Saccharomyces cerevisiae S288C: one gene and its partners. The protein of the gene in region 4 interacts with the protein of the main gene of each other region in a biochemical or structural test. Each region holds a gene or a part of one and is shown on either strand. Other genes may lie near its edges. The genes, in order: CMR2, VAS1, GPH1 and PRK1.

What was found.
Region 1: of the proteins of PRK1 (region 4) and CMR2, one has a biochemical effect on the other in vitro, tested with the Saccharomyces cerevisiae proteins (one study listed by BioGRID).
Region 2: of the proteins of PRK1 (region 4) and VAS1, one has a biochemical effect on the other in vitro, tested with the Saccharomyces cerevisiae proteins (one study listed by BioGRID).
Region 3: of the proteins of PRK1 (region 4) and GPH1, one has a biochemical effect on the other in vitro, tested with the Saccharomyces cerevisiae proteins (one study listed by BioGRID).

Annotation. Positions count from the first base shown.
Region 1 is NC_001147.6:495,657-504,750, forward strand, and holds CMR2 (Cmr2p), read right to left. Parts: upstream 6,797-9,094; coding exon 1,850-6,796; downstream 1-1,849. Other genes in the region: putative ATPase ECM3, read left to right, coding at 1-1,312; Arf family GTPase ARF3, read left to right, coding at 7,139-7,690; ribose-5-phosphate isomerase RKI1, read right to left, coding at 7,896-8,672. UniProt on the Saccharomyces cerevisiae protein: Homeostatic regulator of a chemically distinct subset of diacylglycerols (DAGs) with C36 chain length that prevents the toxic accumulation of these specific DAGs in the logarithmic growth phase, which otherwise leads to endoplasmic reticulum stress.
Region 2 is NC_001139.9:669,858-677,461, reverse strand, and holds VAS1 (valine--tRNA ligase), read right to left. Parts: upstream 5,277-7,604; coding exon 1,962-5,276; downstream 1-1,961. Other genes in the region: thiamine transporter TPC1, read right to left, coding at 1-841; exosome non-catalytic core subunit RRP46, read left to right, coding at 1,120-1,791; DRN1 (Drn1p), read right to left, coding at 5,551-7,074; serine/threonine-protein kinase DBF2, read right to left, coding at 7,555-7,604.
Region 3 is NC_001148.4:857,981-865,146, reverse strand, and holds GPH1 (glycogen phosphorylase), read right to left. Parts: upstream 3,842-7,166; coding exon 1,133-3,841; downstream 1-1,132. Other genes in the region: cyclin-dependent serine/threonine protein kinase SGV1, read left to right, coding at 1-698; YPR159C-A (uncharacterized protein), read left to right, coding at 4,732-4,833; beta-glucan synthesis-associated protein KRE6, read right to left, coding at 5,402-7,166. UniProt on the Saccharomyces cerevisiae protein: Phosphorylase is an important allosteric enzyme in carbohydrate metabolism. Enzymes from different sources differ in their regulatory mechanisms and in their natural substrates. However, all known phosphorylases share catalytic and structural properties.
Region 4 is NC_001141.2:180,284-187,282, reverse strand, and holds PRK1 (serine/threonine protein kinase PRK1), read right to left. Parts: upstream 3,347-6,999; coding exon 914-3,346; downstream 1-913. Other genes in the region: LYS12 (homoisocitrate dehydrogenase), read left to right, coding at 1-766; BMT5 (25S rRNA (uracil2634-N3)-methyltransferase), read left to right, coding at 4,156-5,166; glucose-induced degradation complex subunit FYV10, read right to left, coding at 5,306-6,856. UniProt on the Saccharomyces cerevisiae protein: Protein kinase involved in the regulation of actin cytoskeleton organization and endocytosis. Phosphorylates PAN1 which disrupts the interaction between PAN1 and END3, and between PAN1 and SLA1. Phosphorylates SCD5.

The DNA of each region.
Region 1 (9,094 bases), on a different chromosome or scaffold from region 4:
TGAAGAAAATACGTTGACCAATGATGATTCTGCCCAACAGCCAACACAACCAATTGAAGGCAATTCTTCTTCTTCATCCAACCAAGATATCCTGAAAGAGCCCAACGAGTCTACCGTTCCTAACAGTTCACAAGCAAGCTACATTTCTGAGAAAAATAAAAAAGAAAAAACTGAACTCTCTGTCCCCAAGCCTACACATACTGCCCCTCCAGCAATAGATGACAGGAGCTCGAACTCATCCGCGGTGGTCTCTATCGATAGCATTACACACTCACTACGCACAAACCATGTGGATGCCCAATCTGTAAGCGAGCTTAACGATCCTACTTACAGAACTAGAAGTCAACCAATAGCATACACTACCGAGTCAAGAACATCACATGTTCATAATAACCGCAGGAATTCCATCACTGGCTCCTTACGTTCCATCGATATGCGTGAACTACCCGCGGAAGGCATGTCGGATTTAATTCGTGAATACTCCAATGTTGATCAATACGGTAGAAGAAGGAAAAGTTCTATCAGCTCCCAAGGAGCACCCTCTGTTTTGCAGGCAGACGGTACTATTTCTCCAAATTTGACTAGAACCTCCACTTTACAAAGAGTCAAAACTTCCAACCTAACAAGAATAATCACCTCAGATGCCACTGTTAGTAAGAAAGATATTGAGACTTCCGGTTCCTCTTTACCAAAATGGCTACAGAAATTTCCCTTAACAAAATTTTTCGTCTTTTTTCTAAAAAATTGTCTAAGGCCTTGTTCCATGGCTGTTATCCTGGCTTTGATTATCGCTTTTATTCCCTGGGTAAAAGCCCTTTTCGTTACGACCAGTAATACACCAAAAATCAAACAAGCCCCAGATAATGCACCTGCTCTAACTTTCATTATGGATTTTACATCTTATGTTGGAGCCGCTTCAGTTCCCTTCGGTTTGATTCTTTTAGGCGCTACTCTTGGTAGATTGAAAATTGGAAAATTATACCCTGGTTTCTGGAAATCCGCAGTGGTATTAGTCTTTCTCAGACAATGTATCATGCCGATCTTTGGTGTCTTGTGGTGTGACCGTCTAGTGAAAGCGGGATGGCTAAATTGGGAAAACGACAAGATGTTATTGTTTGTTACCGCCATTACTTGGAACTTACCAACAATGACCACCTTAATCTACTTCACTGCAAGTTATACCCCTGAGGACGAAACTGAACCCGTTCAAATGGAATGTACCTCTTTCTTTTTGATGCTTCAATATCCTTTGATGGTCGTTAGTTTACCATTTTTGGTGTCTTATTTCATCAAAGTTCAAATGAAATTATAAAGTTCGTTAAGGAAGAAACAAGATCTATTCATGCATTCCCATTCTCATTCTCATAATTTCATTTCATCGTACAACTGAATCAGGGTGTAATTTTATAGTTGTTTGTTGGTCTTTTTTTATCAACGTAGAATTCACTTATTTCAGATTTTATAGAGTTTCATAGTATAAAAATAATAATGAAAACAAAACTTCATGCTTTTTCTTCTGTTTATACAATTTCACTTTTGATTGTTATTCAAAAAAATAACATTTAGTCGCAGCTTCTCAGTGTTACTAATCTTTTTCTTCTTTTTTCGAACATAAGATTTTCTGATGGAACGAAAAAAGGTGATCTTTTAATTATTTGTGAATCATAAATATCCTTTTCATTAATTTTTAAGTGGTATAGCGTATTTACATATAAAACATACATGATTATTTCATGTTTATAATCAAAAATTATAAATAATTATTTAATCTCTAATATAGATTAATTAGAGTCTTTCCACAACTCAGTAGCATCCAATAGTCATGACAAATTTACTGTACTTGGATGTGTTAAATATTGTCCTTTTCATAATCTGATAATAAATAAATGGAAATATTTTCACCATAGTTTATGCCAAATTGTGCTTCTATTTGAATTTTCTGATCAAACCAGGCTTGCATTATCGATGCTCTATTTTTCGCCCAAACTTCCATTATCATACTAGAATTTTTTGGGCTTATACCTTTAGTTCTCACAAATGTGCATAAATCTAAAATGACACCATGCTTATTTAACAACTCTGAAACAATTAAAGTCGTTAGATTACCCAAGATGGGATTATGTCGTTCCTTACACCTAATTAAGCACACTAATAATCCACCTGCTTTGGCAATCAAACAACTACCAATGTCACTGTGAACATCTTTAACGGTTCTCTCCAAATCACTAACAAAATGTGTCAATCCTAGAATTTCAATGGATTCATGAATACTTCCCAAAACAAACAACAAGTTCAAATTGACGACCTCTCCCTGTGAATTCGTGCAACTTACGTTTTTGATAAAGCCCAGATCACCAGTTCTCAAATAGCTTAAAGTGTTATTCACTTCGCTCTTCATCTTACTTTTGAATTGTTCTGTGATAAAGGGATCTTTGTACAACTTGTTTTTTGAACTGTTACACACAAAGTAGTCGAATGCATTAGCTTCCGAACAGCACCAAATCTCACCGAATTCTCCATCAACACATGGTAGGAGTGTCTCTGGATTAACTACTGAAACGTCAGTACATACAGGAACAACACCAGAATCTTGAATCTTGATATAGTTTCCAGCACTTACATCATTGGGGTTGACTTCTCTAATTATACCTTCCCTCAGTGAAAATGGGTCTAAATATAGGTCAACCGGAGGAATATCCAGATACGACCTTAATGATATAAGCGGATTGAAGTGATGTTGATAGACATAACTTATTTGTGTACATGATAGGGATATGGTTGAGTACCGTTTTAAAATATTTTCAATTGTATAAATCCTTGGTCTATTAGGAAAAGGTATCATGATATTTCGAACACCCTTGAAAACATCTTCTCTAAGCGAGCCAGATGTATTGTTTTTGGCAGAGTTTATATTCTCCTTCTTATTTTTGAATCCCTCAATCAAACTAGAGGCTCTATCCAGTAAAGCATATAACGTTTCAAGCTTCAAATATAAATCTTTTACGTTTAAATTTTGAAGGCCAATTAAAAACTCCTTAGGGTCAGTAAGAACATCAGTAAGGCTGAATAAGCAAGTTGAAGCACCCGTATAAATTCCTAACAAACAGCTGAACATAAAGCCCAATCCAGATGTATGAGAACATATAGAGAAAAGTGGACTATTATTTCTTAACTGCAAAGTTTCTTTGACTATTTTGCTTGCATTCAGTAAAGACGAATGTGTCATTGTTACGTGAATATTAGATGTTACATCATACTCTGTATTTACCCATACAACACACGGTGTCATACCAATCCTAGTACCTGGTTTGGCCCCAAATTTCTGCTTTAACACATTCTTAAACATAGATACTGTTAACGCATTCTTTGTCTTGACTTTTGAGAAAACTGTAATCTTGGGTATCAAACTTTTGTATTTCTTAAAACATTTGTTTACGACATTATTATCATTCAACAATGAGTGCAATTTAGCATCAACAAATACTCTTTTCACTTTGTAACTTTGAATAATATTAACCAAGCCTTTTAGGTCCTCTTCTATGACAGACTCCTTAACGCTTGGTAGGGGAATTACCAATAAGTTACAGTACAGGCAGGCCATGATCATCGCTACGTATTCAACCGAATTTTCACACATAATAATAATAGGGTCACCATGCTTCAATGGAATTTTAGAACCTACGATTTTTTTCAAAAAGCCTGCGACAATTTTACCAAAACTTGCCCATGATACCTTTTTGTGAACGTTATTATCGTTACTAGCTGAAGAGTTGACTAGGTTTGTGTTTGTACCATCACTGAACGCCGTTTCGTTCCCATAATTAGAAATTCTCCATTCCAGAATCTCTAAAATCGATTTGAAGTCTGTGAGTTTTGTATGGCTTCGAGTGTCAACAGACTCATCTCTGTAATCAACACCACTGCATTGTAGGGCAAGTTTTGGTTTAACGGGACCGCCATTACGATATGCTGGTTCGATCATAGCGTATTCTTCTTGTAAAGCCATCTTTCTCAATTTTGATAAATGCTCGGATAATATACTCTCATTATAGTACGCTGAATGGGGCAAAAAATCCAATATGACATTATCGAATTGAAACTTTACAAACTGTGCACTGAGATCATTGTTTAAAAACTTCTTCTCTACCGTGCTATTGGCCAATTCCAGAGAACAATATCTCCTAGGTAAAGTATCTCTCGGCACAACTAAAATGCACATTGGTTGGATTTTATGAAAAATCCAAAGAATTCTAAAAATTTGGTCAGTTAAATCATTCATTTTCGTTTCTAATTTGTTCCTCTGTGTTTCTGCAAATTTCATTAAGGTAGTATCTGTTGTTTCGCCATTTTTACTCTCTTCTTCGGTTTTTGCTAGGGAGCTTTCTACCACCATAACTAAAAAGTGCTCTTCTTTATGGTGTTGTAATTCAAATGCAGCAACCTCAAAAACTGTATTTACTGTCCTCACAACTGTTTCAGTAATCTGTTGTAGATAGTGGGATTCAACAACTCTTTTGTATCCCGAAGATGTTTCGCCACTTAAACTCGAAATATCAATAGCCTTAGTGCTTTCTGCTCCAGTGTTACCTTTAGGTTGAGCAGATTGATTCCCTTTTTTGGCATAAAGAAGGTTTGATGTGTGAGCCCAGTTAGGTAATCTGATTAATCTATTCTGTAAAAACATATCTTCTATGAGTGAAAGCACGTATATCTTTCCGTTATGAACAAACCCCATAAGCTTGGTTCTCATAAAGTAGGTATTTGCAGGACAAATATTCAGAATGGTATCCAATTGTTCAGTAACTGCTTGCGATTTTTCGTTAGTAGGCATTTCATACTTTGCCCAAGAAAACATTTCGGAGTAATTTAGTTTTGCTTTGAACACAAATTCGTTCACTTTATCCATCTGGTAAAATTCGTCGGTGATGTGGTTAGAAGAGATCCATATTTCTCCAACAGTGAGGTCTTGCACCAACGTATTCGTATCTGGATTAACCACACATAAAGTGATATCAGGAATTGGGAAGCCAAATGTTTCTAATTTAAGATAATCTTTGAAGGAGCTTGATGAATTAATCATAGCAGTTATGCTACATTCAACCTCATTAAGCTTCAATTTCTCGCGGTTTATAAACAATTCATTTTGAAGCCTTAGTTTTGAATTATGTATTGGAAAGTTCTCTAGGTTTCCTAATTGATCTCTTATAGATATAAAGATACCACCAAAGTCCAATAACGTTAACATGGGAGAATAACAAAATGGTGCATCAATACATCCTAAATTTTTCAGCCATTTATGAACAACCATCTCGCTTACATCGGTATCTATAGTGGTACATGAGGTTAAACATGACTTGATGCAACTGAAATCTATTTTGTGCTTCTTGGAAAAAGCTGATTCGGGATTTTCCAAATAATTAATAACTACCTGCTTCAATTGTAGCTGATCATTCAGTAAAATGTCGGCTCTAAATTTATCAATGATATTTTCATAGCCCCCAGGTCGTTGTAATATACTACTATCGATAGATATCATAAGATTACCAGTAAAAAGATTGAAAAGCACACCCATTATCAAACCAGTAGATCTAGTAGGGTCCAGACTATTCAAGATAACAAACCTTGAGTTGGTTGCCATAATTTTTTTGTGAAATGGCTTCCTGATGCTTTGTGATTTTTGTTTCCAGTGAGGCATTGATCGTGAGTTTAGAATTTTTGTCATCGTTTCAAATTGGTTTATTAAGATGTTATGCTTCATGACGACGCCAGAAAGACGACCTAGCGGTGTTCTAGTAAACTCTATATATGAAATATTCGGTATATCAAAGGTAGGCGAAGTTTTTTTTGCCTTTGTGTACGTCCCTAAGTCATCAGTCTTGACAAATTTGATTTGCTGGAAAACATCGTTCTTAACCAGTTTAACTTTTGAATGATTTGATGACGAATACAAGTTATCTAATTGTCTATGACATGCGTTAGAAATCAGAACAAATTTCGAATTTGTTACTTTAATTATCTCAAGGATCTCACGCAGAGAATACGTTTCGAATGAGACTGGTACAGCTGCCATGCCGGATATGAAACAGCCTAATAATGCAATAGTAAATTCGATGACATCATTTTTATTGTACCATAGTAAAATCTTATCCATTTTGTAAAGGTGACTCTTATTCAATTCATGTGCTACCCTCTCCGCTTTCAAATAAAGTTTATCCCATGTGATGAACGTTTCTTTGCCTTTAGAATTTATGCTGATCATCGCTGTTTGACCATCATAATGTTCAAAGCGTCCCCGTAAAATTAGCGGTAAAGAATCCGTCATTGCTGAGTCTCCACTGCTAGTATTTTCGGCTCCAGTGTGTCTTGGTAGTAATGGTATCATAGGATTATAAACGGCATCCTTCACTGAACCGTTTTCATCACTGGAACCTGGCAATGACGATTGCAAAGAAGCTGTATATCTCTTGCTCCGCCTTCTGGGAGTATTGTTCGCAGAAGTCGAGTTTATAGTTGTGACACGATAGATAGAATGACGTCTGTCAATTGAATTAGGTAACGACGTAATGGATGATGCAAGACTTGTATTTCTTCTGTGCAAATGTTTCGACTTTCTCGAATTGGGAGATCGAAGCGGGGTATAAGGCCTCATTTGGGAGATTTCAAATTTGTCTAGCAATTGTTTTCTTTTGGTCTCATAACCCTTTCTTGTTAGATTTTCATCCTTATAGTCTTGAATTAACTCATTTAACCGACTTTGCAGATCTAGAGGTAAGGTAGGAGGAATAGAAAAATCCATTGGAGTAACTCAATGCCACACGCTTTTACACAGAACTGAATCACCCTAACACCAAGTTTACGGAAGCAAATGTTAAATCTGTTGAAGCTCTTTTGACTACATTATAAACAGAAATAAAACATACTAGAAAGTAATCGGGTTTTGACGATTTCATCCATTACCCGTCCGAATGATGGCACTTATAAGATAATGAAGATGTACGCAGCATTAAAACCCTATTTGCAGAAGCATAGTAAGACGCAACGTACGCTGAATTAGACTGAGACATTACAGTTGCTTTGACATTGGGAAGATAATTGGGATTTAGAACGGAAAAAAGGAAAAGACAAGCTAATTGTAGAGATGGGCAATTCAATTTCGAAGGTTCTGGGAAAACTATTTGGCTCGAAAGAAATGAAAATTTTGATGCTAGGCCTGGATAAGGCTGGTAAGACAACAATATTGTACAAACTAAAATTAAATAAAATAAAGACGTCTACTCCCACTGTCGGTTTTAACGTGGAAACCGTTACTTATAAAAACGTAAAATTCAACATGTGGGATGTAGGAGGACAACAAAGATTGAGACCTCTCTGGAGACATTATTTTCCAGCCACCACCGCACTTATCTTTGTGATAGATTCTAGTGCTAGAAACCGTATGGAAGAGGCCAAAGAAGAGTTATATAGTATCATAGGTGAGAAAGAGATGGAGAATGTAGTACTGCTGGTATGGGCAAACAAACAAGATTTGAAAGATGCAATGAAACCTCAAGAGGTTTCCGATTTTTTAGAACTGGAGAAAAATTTGAAAAACCAACCTTGGTGTGTCATCGGTAGTAACGCCTTATCCGGACAGGGTCTTGTTGAAGGATTATCCTGGATTTCGAACAACACAAACGTTCCAAAGAAATAAACATTGCATTTATTGGTGTTGAATCTGCATACACCGATTGTTCATCCTTCATTTTTACTGGATTGTACTTTACTAAAAAGAAAACTTCTGGAAAAAAAACAGTATCCAAATAACTAAATAGCTTTAATAATACAATATAAAAAATGGAGACACTGTTGTGAAAAGTCAACCTTTACTACGGTTTCTGTCTTTGCCTTTGATCTGCTCACTTTTCGGTAACTTCAACACTACCGTCAGAATTACCGAAGTAGGCTTTTGAAGCGTTGTCGATGAATAAACCTGTTTCCACCACGCCCACTAACAGTTTGATTTCTCTATGCAATTTTCTTGGATCGGAAATTTCACCGAAATCCGCATCGATAATGAAGTTATTATTGTCAGTTACAACAGGACCTGCTTTAGCAGAACCTCCTTGTCTGATGTCAACTTTTTCAGCATGCAATTGTTCTAATAGATCATTCTTGACCCTCACGTATGAGGAAGGTACAATTTCAATGGGAACACCTTGCCTCCAGTTCTTACCTAAATGTTTTGGTGACTTTTTTCTTGAATCAGCAACGACAATGAAGGTTTTAGCACTAGTACTAACCAATTTTTCTTGAAATAGACAAGCACCACCACCTTTAATTAATTGTAAATTCTCATCCACTTCATCAGCACCGTCAAACGCTATATCAATGCGAGGATACTGTTCAATGGAGCCTAATTGCAACTTGTTATCCAAAATCAAGTTTCTTGATTGGAATCCTGTTGGAATGCAAATGAATTTAGACGCTACTTCATAAAATTTAGGGTCATGCAAATATTGTCCAATTCTTTCGGCAACATAAACCACTGTGCTACCACTACCAATTCCAATAATTTTGTGATCATCAAATTTTAAATTTTCATCAACTGCTCTGTATGCTGCAGCTCTCTTGGCATCCTCCAAAGGATTGCCCAAAGATTCTAACGCATCAATTTTTGGGACACCGGCAGCCATTTCTTTCCTATGTTGTATTTATATGAGGTTGCAGTATGCGGTAACCAAGTTTATGTAACACGATGTTGTTAATTTTCTACAAGAGAAAAGAACGTCCCAGTACAAAGAGAATAAATTGCATGTAATAAATTGAAACAGTTTCACACTGCAACGCAAGCCGTACATATATTATATTATCCAAAGCGTACGTAAACTGACACCCAATTACGAACCAGATGAAATTTCACCGAGTTAATCGCTTTTCCCTCATCGCAAAAAAATTTTTCAACTCATCGCGACTTTTCACTGCCTCGGCCACAAGCAATCTGGGCCATGCCATTACTCCCATTAGCCCGAAAAAAAGAGGGGGTATGAAGCTAGTACATCATTATAACAAGTACTAAACTCAATTAATTCACTTACGAGACTTATACCAACGCTGG
Region 2 (7,604 bases), on a different chromosome or scaffold from region 4:
AACTCACACCTTCTTGTTTCAAAATCTGTAAACCGATTCTTGCGAATCCGTACCCTTTATAAGAACCGTATACAGACGAATGACGGGAGAACTTTTCCAGATGCTTCGAATTCATGAACTGCATTCGCCTACGGATCGTTTCGAGGGGGAAAGTAATGATCTTAGCAATGACGCCGCCAATGGTACCAGCGCTGTGATTTAAAGTAGCCAGTTCCCATTTTTTATGCGCGGCGGTCGTTTTTTCGTTTTCGTCACAGTATATCCTGATTGTTTCGTATGTTCCGAACATTATAGATGCGGTTAGAGTTATGGTTGTCATTGACGCGATGGAGCCCTTGAAAAATCCGGGGAGACCTTCTAGTTTCCAGATATCACGCACTTCTCTCGTGATGCTCATTGAGTGCATCTGGTTGTTGGCAACTAGTCGGGTCCGTAAAACATCGAACGGGTAGGAAACGATGGAACTGGTTATGCCAGCAAAGGCTCCGACAACAAGACTATGTAAGCGCGCCTCTAGTCCAAATGGAGTTAAATATCTATTAAAAAGGGAGTATGAACTAAACTGCGCTGAGCCATAGGTAACGTACAGCAAAGAACCGGGTATGTTACCCTTCCAAAAGGACCGGATGCCTTCGTTCTTTATCATGCTTCTGGCCACCTCCATGACCTGACTTCCGAAGGGCTTCAGCCCATTTGCAGGGGTCAATTGCAATCTGATCTTAATGGTATCCATGGGAGCAGTTATGCTACGGGCAAGCAGCCCGGATACGGCGCCAGCCAACAAAGTTTTCCACGCGGCCACATTTTGCCCTTTTCTTAACGAGTCCTCCTCTTTGAACATATCAACATTTATGTACTTTGAATGGTTTATATAAAGCTCCAGACTATGCCAAGTTAAAGGTGACAAAATAGCGCCTTTTCTTCATAAAGACTATTATGTACCTCTCTTTTTCTTTTTACTACTTTTTTTTTCCTTTTAAGCGCATCGGATTGTGGAAAAAAGAGTGGAAAATTTGTTAGATGAACCAGTTAAGATGCATAAAATATCTCTGCATATATGGTAATAACAAGGAGCCCAATACCAAGAATAGATTAGATTCTGCTGAAAAAAAAAAAAAAATGAGCGTCCAAGCAGAAATAGGGATATTAGATCATGTAGATGGTTCATCTGAATTCGTATCACAAGACACCAAGGTTATTTGTTCTGTAACAGGCCCTATTGAACCAAAAGCAAGACAAGAACTGCCTACACAATTAGCATTAGAAATTATTGTACGTCCCGCGAAAGGGGTGGCCACAACAAGAGAGAAGGTACTCGAAGATAAATTACGGGCAGTTCTGACCCCACTCATCACTCGTCATTGTTACCCAAGACAGCTCTGCCAGATAACTTGTCAAATTCTGGAATCTGGTGAAGATGAAGCCGAATTCTCCCTGAGAGAGCTAAGTTGTTGTATAAATGCGGCATTTTTGGCTTTAGTTGATGCAGGAATTGCCTTAAATAGTATGTGCGCAAGCATCCCTATTGCAATAATCAAAGACACTAGTGATATCATTGTCGATCCCACTGCCGAGCAATTGAAGATTTCGCTCTCTGTCCACACTTTAGCTCTGGAGTTCGTCAATGGCGGTAAAGTCGTGAAAAACGTTTTATTGTTAGACAGCAATGGTGATTTTAATGAAGATCAATTGTTCAGTTTACTGGAGCTGGGTGAGCAAAAGTGTCAAGAACTTGTCACAAATATAAGAAGAATAATACAGGACAATATATCACCTCGTCTAGTTGTATAGCCATTATAGATTATAATATACCACAACATGCTATGTCGTATGCCGGAGACTACCTCTTATATTTGGAAATAGTTATTATTCAATGTTCTAAAATTCTTAACATTTTCGTTGTTACATATACATAGCATATATATATATATATATTACATTAATTTTTATCTACCTTCAATCTACAATTTCAAACGCTTCAAGTTTTCAATAGTAGCTTCCAAACCTTCGATTTCGGCAACAGTGTTATCCAGCTTGCTTTTATTGGCTTCCTTGGCCTGTGTATTAGCCTTTGTTTCGTAATCCTTACTGTTAATGGTTTGTTCAATACCGTTCTTGGATTTTTTAGCCTTTTCAAGTTTCTTTTGAACTTTCGCAATTTCAGCATCAATATCAACGTGTCCCTTGACGAGAAGATGTACATTGACTTCTGGGTTAACAGATTGCAATACGCAACCTTCTGGAATTTCGGAAGCATCACGAACAACAGTGACTTCGTCGATGGCCTTGATCAACGAGACAATAGAATCTTTCTGATCTTCAGCAGTTTTGAAGTATTCCTCGTGGTTAGATTCAACGAAAACCTTACCATTCTTCAAAATATTGTACTCAGATAACAAGGAACGAGCTTCTTTGGTAATGTTCAAGACCAAGTCGTAAGCATTGGCCGATTTGACATCATCGTACTCAGATACGTAAACTGGATAAGAAGCTTTTACAATTGAGGCAGCCTTCTCAGTGGAACGCTTTGGAAGTCTTTGCCACATTTCTTCAGAAATGAATGGCATGAATGGATGGATTAATTTCAAAGCGTTGTCCAGCAAGATATACAATGTATCCTTTGCGGACTTCTTTTCAATAGCAGAGCCTTCTTGAATCAAGTATTTAGAGTTCTCGATGTAAACATCACAAATCAAATACCAGAATTCGTAAATACTGCTAGTGGACGTCAAGAAGTCACGTTTATCTAGAGCTTCATTGACAATTTTCGAGGTTTCAGTCAGCTTGTGCAAGATCCATTTTTCAACCAAGGATTCGTTACCTGATAGACCTTCAGTGGCAGGTGGTTGATAATCGTCACCGAGTCTCATCAATGCAAACTTGGTAGCTTGGTAGATTTTGTTACAGAACTTTCTGTAACCTTCGACACGTAAGATATCTAAGTTAATATCACGACCACCAGTGGTATAAGCACATAATGCAAACCTCATAGCATCGGTACCACATTGAGGAATACCGTTAGGGTAGGATTCCTTTTGACCGATCTTAGCTTTTTCAACTTCTCTTGGATCTAAGTTACCTTGTAATAATTTTGCATGCAAATCATCCAACTTAATACCAGTAATAACGTCTAGTGGGTCAATAACATTACCTAAAGATTTAGACATCTTACGACCTTGAGCGTCACGGACTAAAGAGTGGCAGAAAACTTCCTTGAATGGAACTGAACCGGTCAATTTTAAGCCCAATAGAATCATTCTAGTAACCCAGAAGAAAAGAATATCCCAACCAGTTTCCAACATAGAAAAGGGGTAAAAAGTTTCCATGTCTTTAGTCTTCTCTGGCCAACCCAAAGTGGAGAAAGGCCACAAACCGGACGAGAACCAGGTGTCTAAAACATCTTCATCTTGTTCCAGAGTAAATTTGGAATTAGGGTATTTGGCAGCAGCCTTCTTTTCAGCTTCCTCCATGCTCCTACCAGCAACCCAATAGTCACCATCAATTCTATCGTGTTCTTCGCCTTCGATATTAATAAAGTAAACTGGACAACGATGACCCCACCATAATTGTCTGGAAATACACCAATCTTGGATGTTACCCAACCAATGGAAATATTCAGCCTCAGAAGATTTGGGGGTGATGGTAATTTGACCATCCCTAACAACCTTAATAGCATCTTTGGCCATTTCACTTTGAGAAACCCACCATTGAGGTTTCAATAAAGGTTCAATAATGTCACCAGATCTGGAACAAGTTGGAATGGTCATTTCATTATCTTCTTGGCCAACGTATAGGTTCTTTTCCTTCAGCTGCTCAATGACCTTCTTTCTGGCATCAAACCTCTTCATGCCTTGCCACTCTGGACCACACTCCTCGTTTAATAAACCATCGTCAGTCAAAATATTGATGAATTCCAAATTGTGACGCTTACCGGTATTGTAATCGTTTTGGTCATGGGCTGGAGTGATCTTAACGGCACCAGTACCGAATTCCATGTCAACAGCTTCCTTGTCGGTGATAATTGGAATTTTTCTTGGTAAGAAAGGATGTTGGATGAACTTACCATGCAAGTGTTTGTAACGGTCATCATCAGGATGAACTGCAACGGCAGTATCACCAAATATAGTTTCAGGTCTAGTTGTAGCAATGATCAGTTTTTCATCGCTACCGATAACTGGATAAGCAAATGATGTTAAAACACCAAATTCAACCTTTTCATCATAGCCTGGGACTGATAAAAGCGTTCTACTTTTAACGTCCTTATTTTCGACTTCCAAATTAGAGATAGCGGTATTCAATTTAACAGACCAATTAACTAATCTGGACGCACGATAAATAACACCTTCATCATGTAGTCTAACAAAAGCTTCTTCAACAGACTTGGTCAATTCTGGACTCAAAGTGAAAGCTTCGCGGCTCCAATCATAAGAAGCCCCCAATTTTTGAATTTGGTTCTTAATTCTGCTATGGTATTCCTCTTTCCATTCCCAGACCTTACCAACAAAAGCTTCTCTTCCATAGTCATGTCTAGTCTTTCTGTCCTTAGCCCAGATTTGCTTCTCCACAACGGACTGAGTAGCAATACCAGCATGGTCGAAACCTGGCAAGAATAAGACAGTTTTACCTTTCATTCTGTTATATCTGATCAAAGAATCTTGGATAGCAATAGTCAAAGCATGACCAATATGTAAGGCACCAGTGACGTTTGGTGGAGGTGCTGGAATGCAAAATACACCTTCTGGTTTAACCTTACCATCAGCGGTAAACTCAGGTTCAAAAACACCAGTCTTGATCCACCAGTCATACCAAGAACTTTCAACGTTAGCAGGGTTATAAGCTTTTAAAGCCGGATCATCCAAGGATACTAAGATTTTTTTCTCACCTGGAACAGTTTTGTCAATAAATTCAGGGATTGGCTCAACTTCCTTCTTTTTCTTAGGTTTCTTTTGAGATGCACCTGTGGTGGCAGCAGCATTTTTTTTAGCTTGTTTGGCAGCGAACTTTAACAGTTTTTCAGCCTTTTTCTTCTCTTTTTCAATTTCCTTAGGAGTCTTTGGAGAGCCATCTTCCTTTAACGGATTAATGATGACCTCACCAGTCTTTGGGTCAACTGGAGGCAAATTATCAAGATCGCTCATTTTAAAGAACCTGACTTGATTATGAGTTAACGACTTCTTCAGAGAAAAGTTTTGACAAAGTGGTAATGATCGCCTATAATGACAGTTCAAAAGCCGAAAAGTGAATGTCTTAGATAATGTGTTTAACCACTTATTCATACCATCTAAGTAATTCCATAAATCTGAAGGACATACAACAACGATGACAGCCAGTGGTAGCACACACAGAGAACACCAGTAGGCTGTATGGGTGACTCTTCTAAAAAAATTTTTTCAGCGCGGTCTCTCGAAGAACTTTACCCGGTTTTTCTTTTAATTCATCACCTCTGAGTTGCTAGGTCTCTTAAACGTTCAGAGGTAGCATGACTTAGTATTCTACATATATATACATATATTTGGATATATTTGAAATTCTAAATGAAATAGTTTTAGTTTAGTTTTCTGTGAGAGAAATGTCATAGGTCCTGTAGGCCTTTTGAAACTTTTCAGCCTCTATAGTCTCTTGTTGCTTAGTTTGTAAACAGGTTGAAGAATTCCATTTCACCCTGCGTGGCAAGTTAAGTAAAAAGGCTAGTACACGTCGTCCAAACTGCAGATCTATTGTCTCACTGGCATTAAATGTGGCCAAATATATCTTTGGGTCCGCTTCAGGAGTCTCGTAGACGGTAAATTGTAAATAATTATTGGATTGGTTGTTAATTACATCCACATATTGTTTGGAAGAGTGTGAATCGTAACATTGGAACTCTAGCTTAGCATTTCTTGTGAATTTTTCGTTATTGAAATGAACCTGTCTATCTAAGGCACTGCAGAACTTTAGAACGAGGTATTTTGGAACGGGAATAACTTGTTTGTGGAAATGAATAGAACGTTCAGACTGTATTTCGAAGACAATCGTGCACATATCAAATTTTATGTAGTTCATCTTCACAAGACTAGCTTCATAAGCCAAAATACTCTGTGTCAACTCTGCGTTCTTGCTTGGATCTAATTTCGGAATATGTTCAATGGGAATAATGAGGCAATGGCCTGAGATATCCATATCACCCTTAGGAACACTTAAAGGTCCCTTCGCTGTGGTTAAATACACTAGTTTGCCGATTGATATTATCATATGATCCTCGAGGTTTGGATTTGAAAAGCAGAAATGACAACTTGACGGCAAAATCGTTCGAATTTTTTTATTTTCATTCTTTTCTCTATTAGCAAGTACCTGTTTGTCTCCATCGAACGAATTCTCTGTTTCTGTTTCTAGTGGCCTTTTATTGCTGTTTGTAACCACGCTATTATACGGGTTAGCTATCAAGTTGGGCGGTTCAGGTTCATCCTTTAGTTCGTTGTCCCCTATTGGCATATTGAATGCATAGGCCCATTTCTTTCCAGATCCATATTTTGGAATATTGAGGAACCTCGATAAGCGCTCTCTTTCCCACTGGAAAGGCTCTAATTCGTAAAAGTTTATTTCATCTGAAAAGGCAAAATGGTACCTTGCTTGTAACTTTTTCGCCAATTCATCAACAACTTCACTTCCAGACAACCTTCCACATCTCTCAGAGATCGAAAGGCCCCATTCTTTTGTAAGGAGAATGTCTACCTGATCCTCACTTTTGCCAAATTCGTCCAGTATGCTTTTTTTCTCCCCTTGAAGAGTATCATCCGGATAAATAAAATATGAAAGAGTGATTCCATTTGCTAATTTATAAGTACCCATATTATGCAGCAATGTTACATTTTCATTTATCTTTTTGGATTTCGAATTGTTAGCCTTATCACACGATAGTAGTATTAGTTGAGGTAACCCATCAGTATTCAGCTCAAAATTTTCATCATACGAGTTACTGAATATAATTATTAGATCAAAGGGCCCTGATTTTTCATTCACTTTCTTGATCTTTCTGATAGCCTCATCGGCATCGCTTTCACTTATATGAGCTACTAAAATCTTTGCATTTGTCATCCTATTTTTATATGTAAGTTTTTGAAGTGAAAAAGATATCAGTAAACCATAAGCCCTTTTTTATATATTATGGATCCTTCTAAGAGAGCTACCTTGCGTTTTTTGTACATCTAGCAATGTAGTATCAGTCCAATTTGTAATTATCATTGAAAAAACAATTGATGTTAACACCCATTCCTTTTCATTTTTTGCAGATTTTCGATTAATAGTGGTCATTGCTGTTTTCCTGTAAAACATTACCAAGTTTCGCCGCTCCCAACATGAATGCTTAAGTTTAGTTCAAAACGGTCATGGGATGGACCGTTACCGTGAACTGAGATTTTAAACAATGGGCTTGAAGTCCTAAGTAATGCACAACTATATATATATATATGTATATTTATGAAAAAAGCGTTCATAGGTGCTAGTTGAAAAGTTTGCATGAAGCTCGTTAAAGCTAATTATATCGCGGCGAATGCAAGACAAGAATTCATTTTTACGCTAGTAAAAGGTTGAAAAGGGGTCTGAGTGTTCCAGTCCGTTGAATAAGA
Region 3 (7,166 bases), on a different chromosome or scaffold from region 4:
TCCCAAGAGGCCCCAAGAAAGATGACGCAAGTTTTTTGCCTCCATCAAAGAACGTATTGGCTAAGCCGCCTCCTTCGAAAATAAGAGAACTACATCAAAATCCTAGACCGTATCATGTGAACAGCGGATATGCTAAAACTGCGATTCCACCGCCAGCAGCCCCTGCAGGAGTTAATAGATACGGACCCAACAATAGTTCCAGAAATAATCGCTTCAGCGGCAACAGCACTGCACCCAACAACAGCAGGAATCCCGTAAATCGATTTCATCCTGAGACAAATGTCAGCTCTAAATATAATAAAGTACCTTTGCCATTGGGGCCTCAGTCAAGATACCAGGGTAATTCAAATGAGTCCCGGTACAAAAACTCGCCAAATGACTCTAGATATCATAACCCTAGGTACGTGAACAAGCCGGAAACCAACTTCAATAGGCAACCACAGAAATATAGTCGCCAAGAATCCAATGCGCCAATCAATAAAAATTATAATCCTTCAAACGGTTCTCGCAATATGGCTGGTGATCATCATCAAGGCTCGAGACCTTCTCATCCACAATTCCCAATCTCGCCCTCACAGGGGCAGCATCAGCTTACGAGTAAACCAATAGAGAAAAAAAATGGAAGCTTTAAGGATGAAAGAGCGAAACCAGATGAGTCTAAGGAGTTCCAAAATAGTGATATTGCAGATCTATATTAGGTTATACTATTCTCTCTTCCTTTCTGGCCTCGTGGCTAATTACGGAAAGTTGTATACTGACTACTATGTAATCTATCACGTTTTGTCACTGTCTCGCTCTTTTCAAACAATCCATAAAATCGAAACTATTGTCAAAACGTCAGTACATCCTACCTGATAGGGACTGTACCAATGTCAACGTTCGAGTAAGTGATAATAAGGACCGCCTTACCCACCTTCAGGACACTCGGTTTTACACAAGCGTTATCCTGCGCGGATTTTCAATATGAAAACAACTAAGTTTTCCTGTAACATCATATATACCATTTAAAAGAGTGCCAAAAAACCGATAACGATTATTTTAAAGGCGTTTTATATAAGAGAAGAAGTAAAGAGAAAAAAGCGCTTACTAGAAATGGGGAGAAGGGTGCCAAAGAGATAAAAAAAACTCCCAGCTAAGTCACTGGTTCAACGTTCCAAATGGTATCGGAGTATTCCTCGATACAACGATCACTGCTAAAGAAGCCGACGTTTGCAACGCTCAGGACACTCTTTTTTAACCATTCTGACCTTTGATTGTGGAACTCCTGGTCCACTAATTCATGGGTGGCCAGATAGGATTCAAAGTCATCACTGACCAGGTAATAATCGCCGTGGTACTTAATACTGTCGACTAAAGGTTTGAATTCATTTGGATTTTCTGGAGAAAATTGTCCACTTTCAATGTAGGATAAAACAGAATCCAAACTAGATGGTAAATCTTGTGGATGGTATTGATGGTTGTATCTCAATTCTTCGACATTTTCACTTAGGTTACCAAACAAGAAGACATTATCTTCACCAATTTCCCTTGTGATTTCCACATTGGCACCATCAACAGTACCAATAATCAAACCACCGTTCATAACAAACTTCATATTAGAAGTACCAGACGCTTCAGTACCAGCAGTAGAAATATGCTCACTCAAGTCACTTGCTGGAATAATGATTTCAGCCTTAGAAACATTATAATCAGCAACAAAGACAACCTTCAACAAATGCTCAATTGACTCGTCGTTATTAACAATGTCAGCAACACAGTTGATCAATTTTATGATCAGCTTAGCCATGTAGTAACCAGGAGCACTCTTACCACCAAAGATTGAAACCTTGCGTGGATATTTCTTGGCAACTTCTTCGATCGAAGCACCGTTCTTCAGCATATTCTTCATTGCCAGGTAACGGTATATAATACCAAAGACGTTTAGCTGTTGACGCTTATATTCATGAATACGTTTAACTTGCATATCAAACAAGGTGTCGTCCAAATACTCTCTGTTAATGATGTCTACTCCATCATTTTCCTTTTTGATTAAATCTACTAATCTGATCTTATTATTAAGCTTGACTTGGTTCCATTTTTTCAAAAACTCCTTATCTTCAACATATTTTCCCAACTGGGTCAGTTTGGCCATGTCCAACAAATACTCCTCTGTTGGATCGTTAAGGGTTTCACTGATCAGTTTAGCCAATGAAGGGTTAGCTTGCTTCAACCATCTCCTTGGTGTGATACCGTTAGTGACATTGACAAACTTTGATGGACCATAGAACTTGACAAAATCTTTAAATATGGTCGTTTTGATTAATTCAGAGTGCAATTCAGCAACACCATTAACCTTGTGTGAACCAACAATAGCCAAAAAGGCCATTCTGATCTGTCTTTCTGGAGAGTTTTCTTCGATGATGGATATACGAGACAAAAGATCAACATCCTTGGGGAATTTTTTGGCCACATCTTGCAAGAAGAACCAGTTGATATCATATATAATTTCCAAATGTCTGGGTAGCAAATGGCCAAAGAGGCCGACGGGCCATTTTTCCAGGGCCTCTTGCATAACAGTGTGGTTAGTATAAGCAAAAGTCTTGGTCACGATGTCCCAAGCCTCGTGCCAATCTAGTTTTTCTAGATCGACCAAAACTCTCTGTAATTCAACGATGGCTAAAGTTGGATGAGTATCATTCAACTGAATAGCCACTTGGTCAGGAAATTCAGTCCATGGCCTCTTGGATTTTTTGAATCTTCTTAAGATGTCGTGTAAGGATGCAGCACACCAGAAGTACTGCTGTTTCAACCTCAACTCCTTACCTTGAGCAAAGTTATCGTTTGGATACAACACAGCGGTTATAGACTCTGCGCGTTGTTGCTGAGCCACAGAGTTTTTATAGTCACCATTATTGAATTTTGCAAAATCAAATTCTGTTGTTGGCCTTGCTTGCCATAGTCTTAAGTTATTTACATTGGAAGTCTTGAAACCCGGAACTGGGAAATCATACGCGACAGCAAGAACTCTTTCCCCACCGATCCATTGTGACGCACTCAGTGTAGTTTTACCGCCTTCTGGTCTATCAACATAACCATAAAAGGTGACAGGAATTTGCACTTCGTTACGTTCAATTTCCCATGGATTACCAGAATTTAACCAGTAATCTGGAGTTTCCACCTGGTAACCGTCAATAATCTTTTGAGCAAAGATACCATACTCATAACGTAGACCATAACCCCAGGCAGGGATGCCTTCCGTTGCCATTGAGTCGACGAAGCAAGCTGCAAGACGACCTAGACCACCATTACCTAAACCTGCGTCCGGTTCTTGGTCCAAGACATCCTCTAACTTGAAACCTAAATCATCCAAAGCCCCTTTAATCATTTCTCTTGGTTTTCCCTTTGAGGCAGCAGGGTCTTCCGGATCTTCAATCTTCATATTAATCAGGGCATTATCCAAAGCCCTACCCATCAAAAACTCCAAAGACAAATAGTAAACTCTCTTTGGGTCTCTTGTGGTGAATTTCTGCTGAGTTTTGTTCCAGTCAATGACCAAATTGTCACGAATACTCATCGAAGCAGCTTCATAAGCAGCCATGTCATCACAATTATATAGGGAACGTGCTAATGTAGTTTCCACATGGTCAATGAATCTATCTTGAAAATCTTCTGCCTTGTTAAATTTTTTGACTTGATGCTTATTCCATAACGCTCTTGACTTTAAAGGAATCATCGTGTCAATTGACTTGATTTCTTGGGGAAGAAACCCCGTAAGTCTCCTTGTAAGCCTTGGGATTTGGTGTGGAGAAGTAGGTTCTTCGGTTATCATATCATTGGTAGTACTAGTACTAGCTGGCGGCATTGTTCAAAATTAAATTAAGTTGAAAGCTGCTTTACTGAAATTGTAATGTAGAGAAGTCAAAAAAGATCCAATTGTTTTTCTTTTGGATATTTTTAGTAATCGTTACCTTCTCAATCTGTGCTTACTTTATATTACAATAGCAAGCAGAAAAAACTTATAATACTTCGTACGTAATCAAAACAAAAGGTACAACAAGAAACGGGAAGGCACAAAGAATCTTGCTTTACTGCTATACAAACTTCATGCTCCTTTTATACATATAATATATTCGTCGGTGTTCCTTCCTTATCTTTGTAGCATGCACATGGTAGTTATTAACCTCCCCTGAAACTTTTTTAGCGAAAATTATCCACCCCTTACTTATTTCCTCGAGAGTCTCTAAAAAGTAAAAATACAATAACGGTAATTGGGGAAGGCGTTCCTTGTTAATTCAAAATGTTATCCTTGAAACATAGAAGGTGCTGGCTGCATCTCGCAGAGCTTCCTCTTCCGTTGAGCGTTGTATTCTTCCCCCCACAGTGCTACTAGGCGATGCCGCTACCCCTTGAAGGGCCTTCCCGCTGTGGGGCAGCGGCCTTTTTTCCTTAGTGGGAAACAAGCACCGGGGTATATTTCATTGTCTATCAGGAGAAGAGATCGTATACAAATGTTCGTGAGACGGTTTCATCTTGACTAGTTGCCTTGCTAGTCGGATAACTAGTGGAAAGCAGTAGGACACTCCCGATGAGTTTGCGTTTCCACGGGGTTTGACAGAGCTACCTATTGTCTTTTTCATCGAAGGAAACGGTAGTTGGACCTTGCCTTGGATAAGTTGGTGAATCATCCAGAGCTTTAGAAGGGAGCAAAAAATAAAATCTGCGCAAGCCCGGAATCGAACCGGGGGCCCAACGATGGCAACGTTGGATTTTACCACTAAACCACTTGCGCTTGTTATTTACATGAGTGTGGTACTTCTATTGATGGTAGGTGTTCCATTACTTTTTTCGTCTTAAGATGAGCGAGCAAACACAGGGAGAAAATAAAGCGCAATTATTTACCTCATAGGGTACACAATATCCGTGAGAAAAGGATGAATTTGAAATAATTATACAGACTCCTTTTTTTTCAACGTAAAATTATAAGCATAGATTAGAGGCGCTCCTGGATAATAATAGGAACACACACAAGTAAATCAGCAATTTCTCATATCGTACTTATTCGGTAGAGTTAATAATATTCTACTAAAATAACTACTGGTAAGTAGTGAGAGCTTGATTTTTGTACTAATAACTTGTTTCAAAAAAAAAAACGAATAATCAGTTTTACAAAAATGTGTATACCTATATAAACAATCTTAGAGGTAAAGTTCTCCCTCACTAAAAATAATAAAAAATTACGTGCAGATGAGAACCCCGTCTTACCTTAGTATACCTTTAGTTCCCTTTATGACCCGATTTGAACGATAAGTCTTTTATATTTTATTTCTTCCTAAAAGAAAAATGTATGCATTGTAAGTAACTTTTTATGACCATGGTAATAATTAAAGCCGAGGGCTTGTAGATTTACCATCAAAATACCCGCTTAAGAGGATAACTTGAACTTCGAGCTAGTACATTTACCAGTTAGGATATTCTTAGGGAACGTGTAACCAGCATCTTCCCAAGTAGTTAAGTTTGCATTCTGGAATGCATTTAAGTGCGATTGAATATAATCATATGTTGGATAGTCACTTGGATCGCATGTCACGGATATAGCATTACTTGGTTGGTATATTCTAACATAGTCAATCGACATAACCACTGGGAAGAAAATATACTGCCAATCAATATAAGCCCAATTGTTGGAAATACCCAGATTTAGAATAATCGACATTGGTTCTTTACTGATTCTTCTCCAACCAATATTACCATCAGGATGTAAGGCTTTAGCATGAATAGTATAAGTTGGAGTATCACCAACAAACCAACGGATATAACCATTGTCGTCATCGTTCAGATACTCAATGGCATATTTTTGAAAGTAGCCACCGTACTCACCGAATTCATACCAAGTTACGTTCAAAGTTGAGACAGCAGATACGGCTTGTTGAAATGGACCGCCAGCATAAGTGTTCATGGTCGTTGTTGTGAAATTGTAAACCTCGATAAAATCATAGTCAGGCATGTACCAGATATCAAAAGGTGCAATTTGCAAGGATTGAGAGGCTATACCTACACCAATCTTAGTATCAGTTTCACCTTCCAAAACATCAATTTCTGGAGCTCCTCTACCAACACCTTGATTCGGATGATCTTCACCATCACAAGTACAAATACTTAACTTTTGTCCCGGCAAGTAAGAAATACCATCCGGGGAACTTTGGTTGGGTGTAATACCAGCATCACACGATTCATAAGAATAAGGCCAGACACCTTGGGTACTAGCCAAATAACCGGGCCTCCCTAAATTACCCATAGTCCAAAGACCGGGCCACAAACCTGAAACACGGCCATAATTTGGTAGATTTGCAGAGATTTCTAGAGCACCCTGCGTGAAACAAACCTTATTCCAACTCTGCAACATACCTGATCTGTAATATAAGCCATGGTTCTTAAAGGCATCCATTCTCAGCTGCAAGGTTCCGTTCACAGTTGTGGAAGCGTCTGGACTGTACCATTCTAAATCCTTAGTAGCATCATAGTGAACATCAGGGGCTGTCCAGTATGGATCATCCCCATCATAAAATGTTCTGCCTTCTGCATTAAACTCATCAGAAAATACTAATTCCCACTTAGAGCCATCCATAGCTTCTCTTGTCTTCGCTGTATCAGGTGTGTCTGGGTCAACCAGAGATGTTCTAATGGCGGATAGTTGAGGATATTGGTATTGAGTTAAATATGTAACTTCTTCAGTGTTGCTTTCGTGATCAATAGCACCGGTAAAGGTCAACGCTGGCAAAACAATAAAAATAAAGATGGCTGCCAGAAACAAGAGCAATACACCAGCTAGCCCACTAGCAGACCTTTTATCCATGTACTTGAAGTCATCTATGAACCTCCTTCTATCCAGTCTTGCCTCTTCTTCGGGGTCAGGATTGTGTAAATAATCATCTTCTTCCTTTTCATCTATCATAAGTGGGAACGATGAAGCAGGATACCCACCAAATGGAGAAAAATCTTGCTCGCCCAAAAACGGATTAGAAGAGAATGAGGCGGACGACTCGTTTCCTGGAGATGATGTTGGCGAGCGACCATGATGGTTCAGTTGAGTCATAGAAGTGACTCTGGAACCCACTAAGGGATATCTATCAAATTCTGGCGGTGAGAGAATATCATTCTTCGATAAATTAGAATTCAAAGAAGGAGAA
Region 4 (6,999 bases):
GGGCCTTTTCGCTAATGTTCGTCCTGTTAAGTCTGTAGAGGGAGAAAAGGGTAAACCAATTGACATGGTTATCGTCAGAGAAAATACTGAGGACCTGTACATTAAAATTGAAAAAACATACATTGACAAGGCCACAGGTACAAGAGTTGCTGATGCCACAAAGAGAATATCCGAAATTGCAACAAGAAGAATTGCAACCATTGCATTAGATATTGCCTTGAAAAGATTACAAACAAGAGGCCAAGCCACTTTGACAGTGACTCATAAATCAAATGTTCTATCTCAAAGTGATGGTCTATTCAGAGAAATCTGTAAGGAAGTCTACGAATCTAACAAGGACAAGTACGGTCAAATCAAATATAACGAACAAATTGTGGATTCCATGGTTTATAGGCTGTTCAGAGAACCACAATGTTTTGATGTGATAGTGGCACCAAACCTATACGGGGATATATTATCTGACGGTGCTGCTGCTTTAGTCGGTTCATTAGGTGTTGTTCCAAGCGCCAACGTAGGTCCAGAAATTGTCATTGGTGAACCATGCCATGGTTCTGCACCAGATATTGCTGGTAAAGGTATTGCTAACCCAATCGCCACTATAAGATCTACTGCTTTGATGTTGGAATTCTTGGGCCACAACGAAGCTGCCCAAGATATCTACAAGGCTGTTGATGCTAACTTAAGAGAGGGTTCTATCAAGACACCAGATTTAGGTGGTAAGGCTTCTACTCAACAAGTCGTTGACGACGTTTTGTCGAGATTATAGAGCATATAATAGGAAAATAGAAACGAATAAATAAATGAATGAGTGACAAGATATATTTCAAAAAATTTCAAATGATTGACGAAAGAAAATTTGTACATTTTGTATGACTTTTAATATTACATAGTCTATTATGTGTGAGAGCAAGTTTTAAACTTTGCTGGGAAACCTTTTTCTAAAATCGGCTTCTAAATCATCTACGTTAACATCAACAATAGTTTCTGTGGCTTCGCTGGAAATTCTTTCAATCGGCAGTTTCTTTGATTGTAAACGACTAAAGTTTCTTATCTTCTGAATTTCTGTCCTTAAATGTAGTGGTTTTGGTGGTGGACGTGGTGGTCTTGATTTATCTTTACCGTTGCTTTTCGTTTTGATGTCCAAAACACCATCCTTAAGGGTTTTCTTAAACTTTTCTTCTGTGATTGGTGTTATTCTTACACTTGAATGTCGATTGGAAGTTTCTGTACCAATATCTGTATATTTACCATACCCGGATGCGGATTTATACGTTACCGGATCATCAGAACTCTTTAGTAAGTTATGCACTCTTCTTTGAATTGATTCCTTCTTTTCTTGATTTATATTAACGTTGCCATTATCTGGTATCAAAGTAGGCTTTGATGTCGTTTTAGCTGATGCTTGAGTTTTCTTCACTGGAGAATGAGACCTGTAATAGTCCCTTGATCCAGTTCTCGAGTTATTCCTCTCATGCTGGTCAAAATCTGATAAAATTGAAGGAGGCATACTGCGACGTTTTTCCAGTCTCTGATTCTTGTCTGATTCCTCTTTTCTTTTGGTATCAGAATTAAATTTAGGAAAGGAGGAGGTTGAAGACGAAACTAATCGCCTGTTTGTATTGTTACCATTGCCGTTGACATTGTTATTATCAAAGGAAGCAGACCTGCTATTGTTCACTGAGTTTCCTGTAAACCCATGACGAAGCTTACCAAATGCTGATCTGATACTATCACCAGTATTTTGCCTTGATTTAATCGGAGAATTGCCGCGAGATTCACCAGTAATAACCTTTTTTAACTTAGAGCTTAGTGAACGCACAATCTTGCTTCCATTTATATTATCTGGAGCAGCAATTTCTTTTGTGGAGCTTAGTGATTTGCTTGTAATGGTGGGAGATAGTTTTAAGTTTGGCACAGCCATGTTATCTATAGTTTGCGTCTCAGAATCAACGTAGTTATTTGGACGATTTATTGCCGAAACTCTATCAAAAATGTCATTATTAACAGGAGTAAGCGATAATGGAGGCATAGACTTCCTTTGTGGGGATTGGAAACTTTCTACTGATTTGAAAGTCTGAGACTTTTGAAAAGGGTGTAGCTCTTTATAATATAGTGATGCAAATTCATCAGAAAGTGGAACGGATTTTGTTTTCATTAAGGGACTAGTCAAATTTGAATGGCTTCCAACCTGTAAGCCAGCATGCGCCGTTACTTCTGTCTTGTTATTATCATTAATAGATATAGGGAAAGTACCCAAATTAGGAGTAGTACTGACGTGAGTTACAGGCATCATATTTGGTGGCTGGTTGATGCTCTGAAGGCTTTGTACGGGAATAAATTTCTGTGTTGGAACATAAGTTGTCGAAGACGGTTCACCGGCCAATTGGGTATTCGCATTCTGATTCATTGCTCTTAACAAGTAAAAATTTCTAATCGGGCAAGGCTTATTCTGTAACCTGGAAACCTCCTCTAAAACTTGACAAATATTTGGCCTCTGAGATGGTGCTTCCATTAACATAAGACGTATCAAATTTTTCAACCTGTCACTATACTGCGGAAAGGATGGATATTGATACCTTGCATGTAGTATACCGGCTTCACCACTTTTTTCAAACGGCGTAGTATAGTAACATATTTTGTAAAGAAAGACACCAAGAGCCCAAATATCAGATTTTTCGTCGATAGGTAACCCTCTGTACAGGTCAATCATTTCAGGTGATCTATACTGAGCTGTAGTATTTGTTAGGATGTCGTGTTGAACATAATTAAACTCTTGAGTATTTCTAGGTGGCCTTATCACACCGGAAACGGAACCAAAATCACAAACTTTATACAAGCCATCATGAGAAATAAGTACATTCTCAATCTTAATATCTCTATGAATCAATGGCGGCTGCAGAGCGTGCATTGCAGTTATACCTTGGACGGTTTGACTCATAATTTCTAATATTTCAGATTCTTGTAATCTATTTTGTAATCTGGTGTTCATAAAATCTATAAGACCTCCACGTTCACAAAATTCCATTAACACAAACACCTCATATGCTATACCATTTACAGACCTTGCAGCATGTGAATCTATGTAAGAAACAACATGCTTATTATTTCTAAGGAGTTTCATAGCATCCACTTCAGCTCTCAAGGTATTTAAACCCTGTTTATGGGGGACAATGACTCTTTTCAAGCATGCTATGTTAGCATTGCTATATGGGTCAGGAGGGGAAATTTCGGCAGTATATACTTGTGCGAATCCACCACTCGTAAGGTATTTGATAATCTTAGCATGATGAGATCCCACAGTTAATATTGTCCCGGGTTCATACAGACTAATCTGTGGAGTATTCATTGTTTTTGGATCAGTTCAACTAAAGATAGGAGGTTACAAATAATCTTGATCAACACTTCAATCAAAAAAGATTTTTTTCGCTGAAGATAATAAACTATCCCACAATGGAAATTCAACCTGTATTAGCGAACTAACTTATGTTCAAGTGGAGCCTGTGACCTGCCTGCTTGGTGACTTTTTTAGCGTTTCCTAAATGTACTGTTCTATATTTTTCTTTTTCCAAGACCTTCGCTCTGCATACGCCTGCCTGGTTATAATTACAGTTTTTTTTAAAAACCTTTACTAAGAATAAATAGTAACAGCTAGTGCAAACTAACGACATTGACATTTACTTGATATAAAATAATTGAGAGCGATCATATATATCGGAAATCTCTATCAGTACTAATATTAAATTTACATGAAATACTTCAACAAATTCCTGGTCTCTTGGCCCAGTTGGTTAAGGCACCGTGCTAATAACGCGGGGATCAGCGGTTCGATCCCGCTAGAGACCACTTATTTTTATGACTTCTTGGAAGTCAATTTTTTTTTCCTTCTGAATCAGTAATAACAAAAGTCGTAGTTGATCTTGTTATTGGATCATGTACATCAGTATTATTAATGATTTTAGTATTTCAAGCTGGCTCCCATATTTTTCTCCTGTAGAAAGAATGTAAATTATTCGGAAAAAAAAAAAAAAAAAGAAAAGAATTGGCGATGCGATGAGCTTAAAAGAAAACCTTCCATTACTTAAATTCATTGGAGCCTGACAACGTTTAGTAACGTTAAAATCATAGATTAACACCAATCATAACCTAAAATTATCAATGGCCAGGAAATTGAAGGGTAAGATTGGGAGTAAAGGCCTAAAAGGTGCATTATTAAGGCACAAGGCCAAAGTGAAATTAGTGAGGAATATTGAAAGTAAGCAAAAACATGAACTAAGAAAGAAAAATTCGAGCGCTAATAACAAAACCGTGAAGAGAAACCAAGAATTCCAAAAACTTAATCAAGGGAAGGTTATGCCCTTTGAGAAGGATGAAACTTTGATGCTATGTGGTGAAGGAGATTTTTCTTTTGCCAGATCCATTGTTGAACAAAACTATATTGAAAGTGACAATTTAATCATAACAAGTTACGATAATTCTGTGAATGAGCTGAAATTGAAATATCCGCATACTTTTGAGGAAAATTACCAGTACTTAAAAGATCTAAATATTCCGATATTTTTCCAGATTGACGTTACGAAGCTCGTAAAGAGCTTTAAAATTTCCAAAAATAATACTTGGTTTAAAATAATCAACAGGCTTAGCGATCATCGTTGGGGTAACAAACCTTTACAAAATATAGTTTTCAATTTTCCCCATAATGGAAAAGGTATTAAGGATCAAGAAAGAAATATTAGAGAGCATCAGGACTTAATTTTTAACTTTTTCCAAAATTCCTTACAATTATTTAATCTTATAAACACGAAAATTCAAAATGATACTCTTCGTTATACGCAAGGCTATGATCTTAATGAGGATACTCCCCAGGCTAAAAAATTGACCGCCGAAGGTTATGGTAACATCATACTGTCCCTTTTCGATGGAGAGCCCTATGATTCATGGCAAATCAAACTTTTAGCCAAAAAAAATGGACTAACTCTGAGCAGATCGAGCAAATTCCAATGGGAAAATTTTCCAGGATATCATCACCGGAGAACGAATAGCGAACAAGATACTACAAAACCTGCGAAAGAACGTGATGCTAGGTTCTACATCTTTAGTAAATATGTCTCGAATAGTTCAAAACATAACCGTAAAAGCAAAAAAGACACAGATTCTGATTCAGACTAAGTACAGAAGGAAGAATGTCGCCATGTTGATGAAAGAACTTTCATTTTCCCTAATTCTTATATAGCGTAAGTATCTGTAAAATAGTTGTGAAAGTTGGACAAATCTTTATATAAAAAAATGCATATAGCTTGAAACTATTTCAGGTTGGGTACATTTTGATAGAATCTGATTCGCAAAATATTTTCATGTCAACTGGATCCATAATTTGACCTGGATTTAAAGAAATTAAGTTTTGCTTTTTCAATGTTTTGGCCAATTTCTTCAATTTTTTACTGTCGTAAACATTTCCATTTGGTAATAGTATTGGATTTTCAAATAATTGAGACTGAATGTGATGAGCAAATGGTAATGCCTGTGTTATTGGTTTGAAAGTCTCACTGCAAACGGGACAATTTTTCCTTTTTAGTGAATGTAGCGTAAAGAGTTGTAAATCTTCAACTTCTTTCTCTGCTGTTGTGGCAGTTTCCGTCTCTTGATTTCCATTTTCATCGTCAGAAGGGTGCAGGCAATCTCTTGTCTTCAAAGACGATATACCTAGTGACAGGTATATCAATAAAGGGTCATTTTGTGATATGCCATACATGGAATAAAAGTCGCTCAAGAATAAATCATTTAATACCGACCATCTTTGATCATCTAATAAATTCAGATATCTTTCGAAATCTCCACTTTGTAAATTTATTAAGGAACTCTTGTCATAGTCTGTTGTATTCACCGCAGGTTTGGAGGTAATTCTAGGTAAAGATTTGTGAAAAAAATGTTGAAATATTCGATCTTTCTTCATTGGTAAACTTTGAGACTTAATCTCTTCAGTATCGAATCCAGAGCTGGTAGAAGAAGTTGGCTTTTGATCATTACAGTATTTGATAAAAATCAGAAGTCCAGATGCTAATTTTAAATCGGTGAAGTTGCTCTTAACGAATGGTAAAAGGAATCTTTGAAAACATACTATAGCGTCGGTATAGTTATCCACCTTTAGTAGTTCAATATATTCTTGCAATCTTGCTTGAAACTCTAATATAGAGGACTTTTTGGTCAGTGTCTTTTTGTTCTCGTTTATCCATGAAATTAGGGGTAAGAGATTACGCTCATGTAGTAACGAAGTCGAAATTCTATTAGCCTCCAAGAGGACATCATAATCAATGAGATCATCCAGTTGGCTCTGTTTCAAAAACACTACGCCAGAGTTCCAATGATCCTTTGTCTCCGAGTTGTATTTAATCGGGTTATTCCTCGTCAGATAATCACCAATTAAAATGTTTGTATAACTCTGATACCACTGTATCAATTTAGTCCTGGTACCCTCATTATTTCCATTGTGCGATGTTCCTGAATTTTGTGACTTGATGTCCTTCAGTTCGTGGAAAAACTCCAGCCTTTTTTTAATTCTGTTCAAAATCTGACAGTAGGACTTGATTTGCGTATTTAAAAATCTTTCTATATGGTCAACTTTCCTAATCATTTCAGTTATTTTTGCTAGTGCCAACTCGTCGTGCTCAACGTCATTATGTTCAAATATTTGATTTAATGCGGCCGTGTGTTCATGTAGTGATTTGGTTTCCTTATTAATTACCGCTTGAGTATGCTTGATACGTTTGGACAGTAGTTCATAAGGAATATGAAATAATTGTTGATTTAATTTCAAATGGAAATCCACATCAGGCTCATTAAATATTGATTTCTCTGCCATGGCTTACCTACTTTCCTATAATTTATAATCATTTTCTCTGTTTTATGTATGAAATTGTAGATTTAACCACCCCCTTCTCTTCGCCTTTGCAAAAAGTGAATATCTCAAATTGCACTAGAGTTTCATTTGCAGCGATAAGTGGA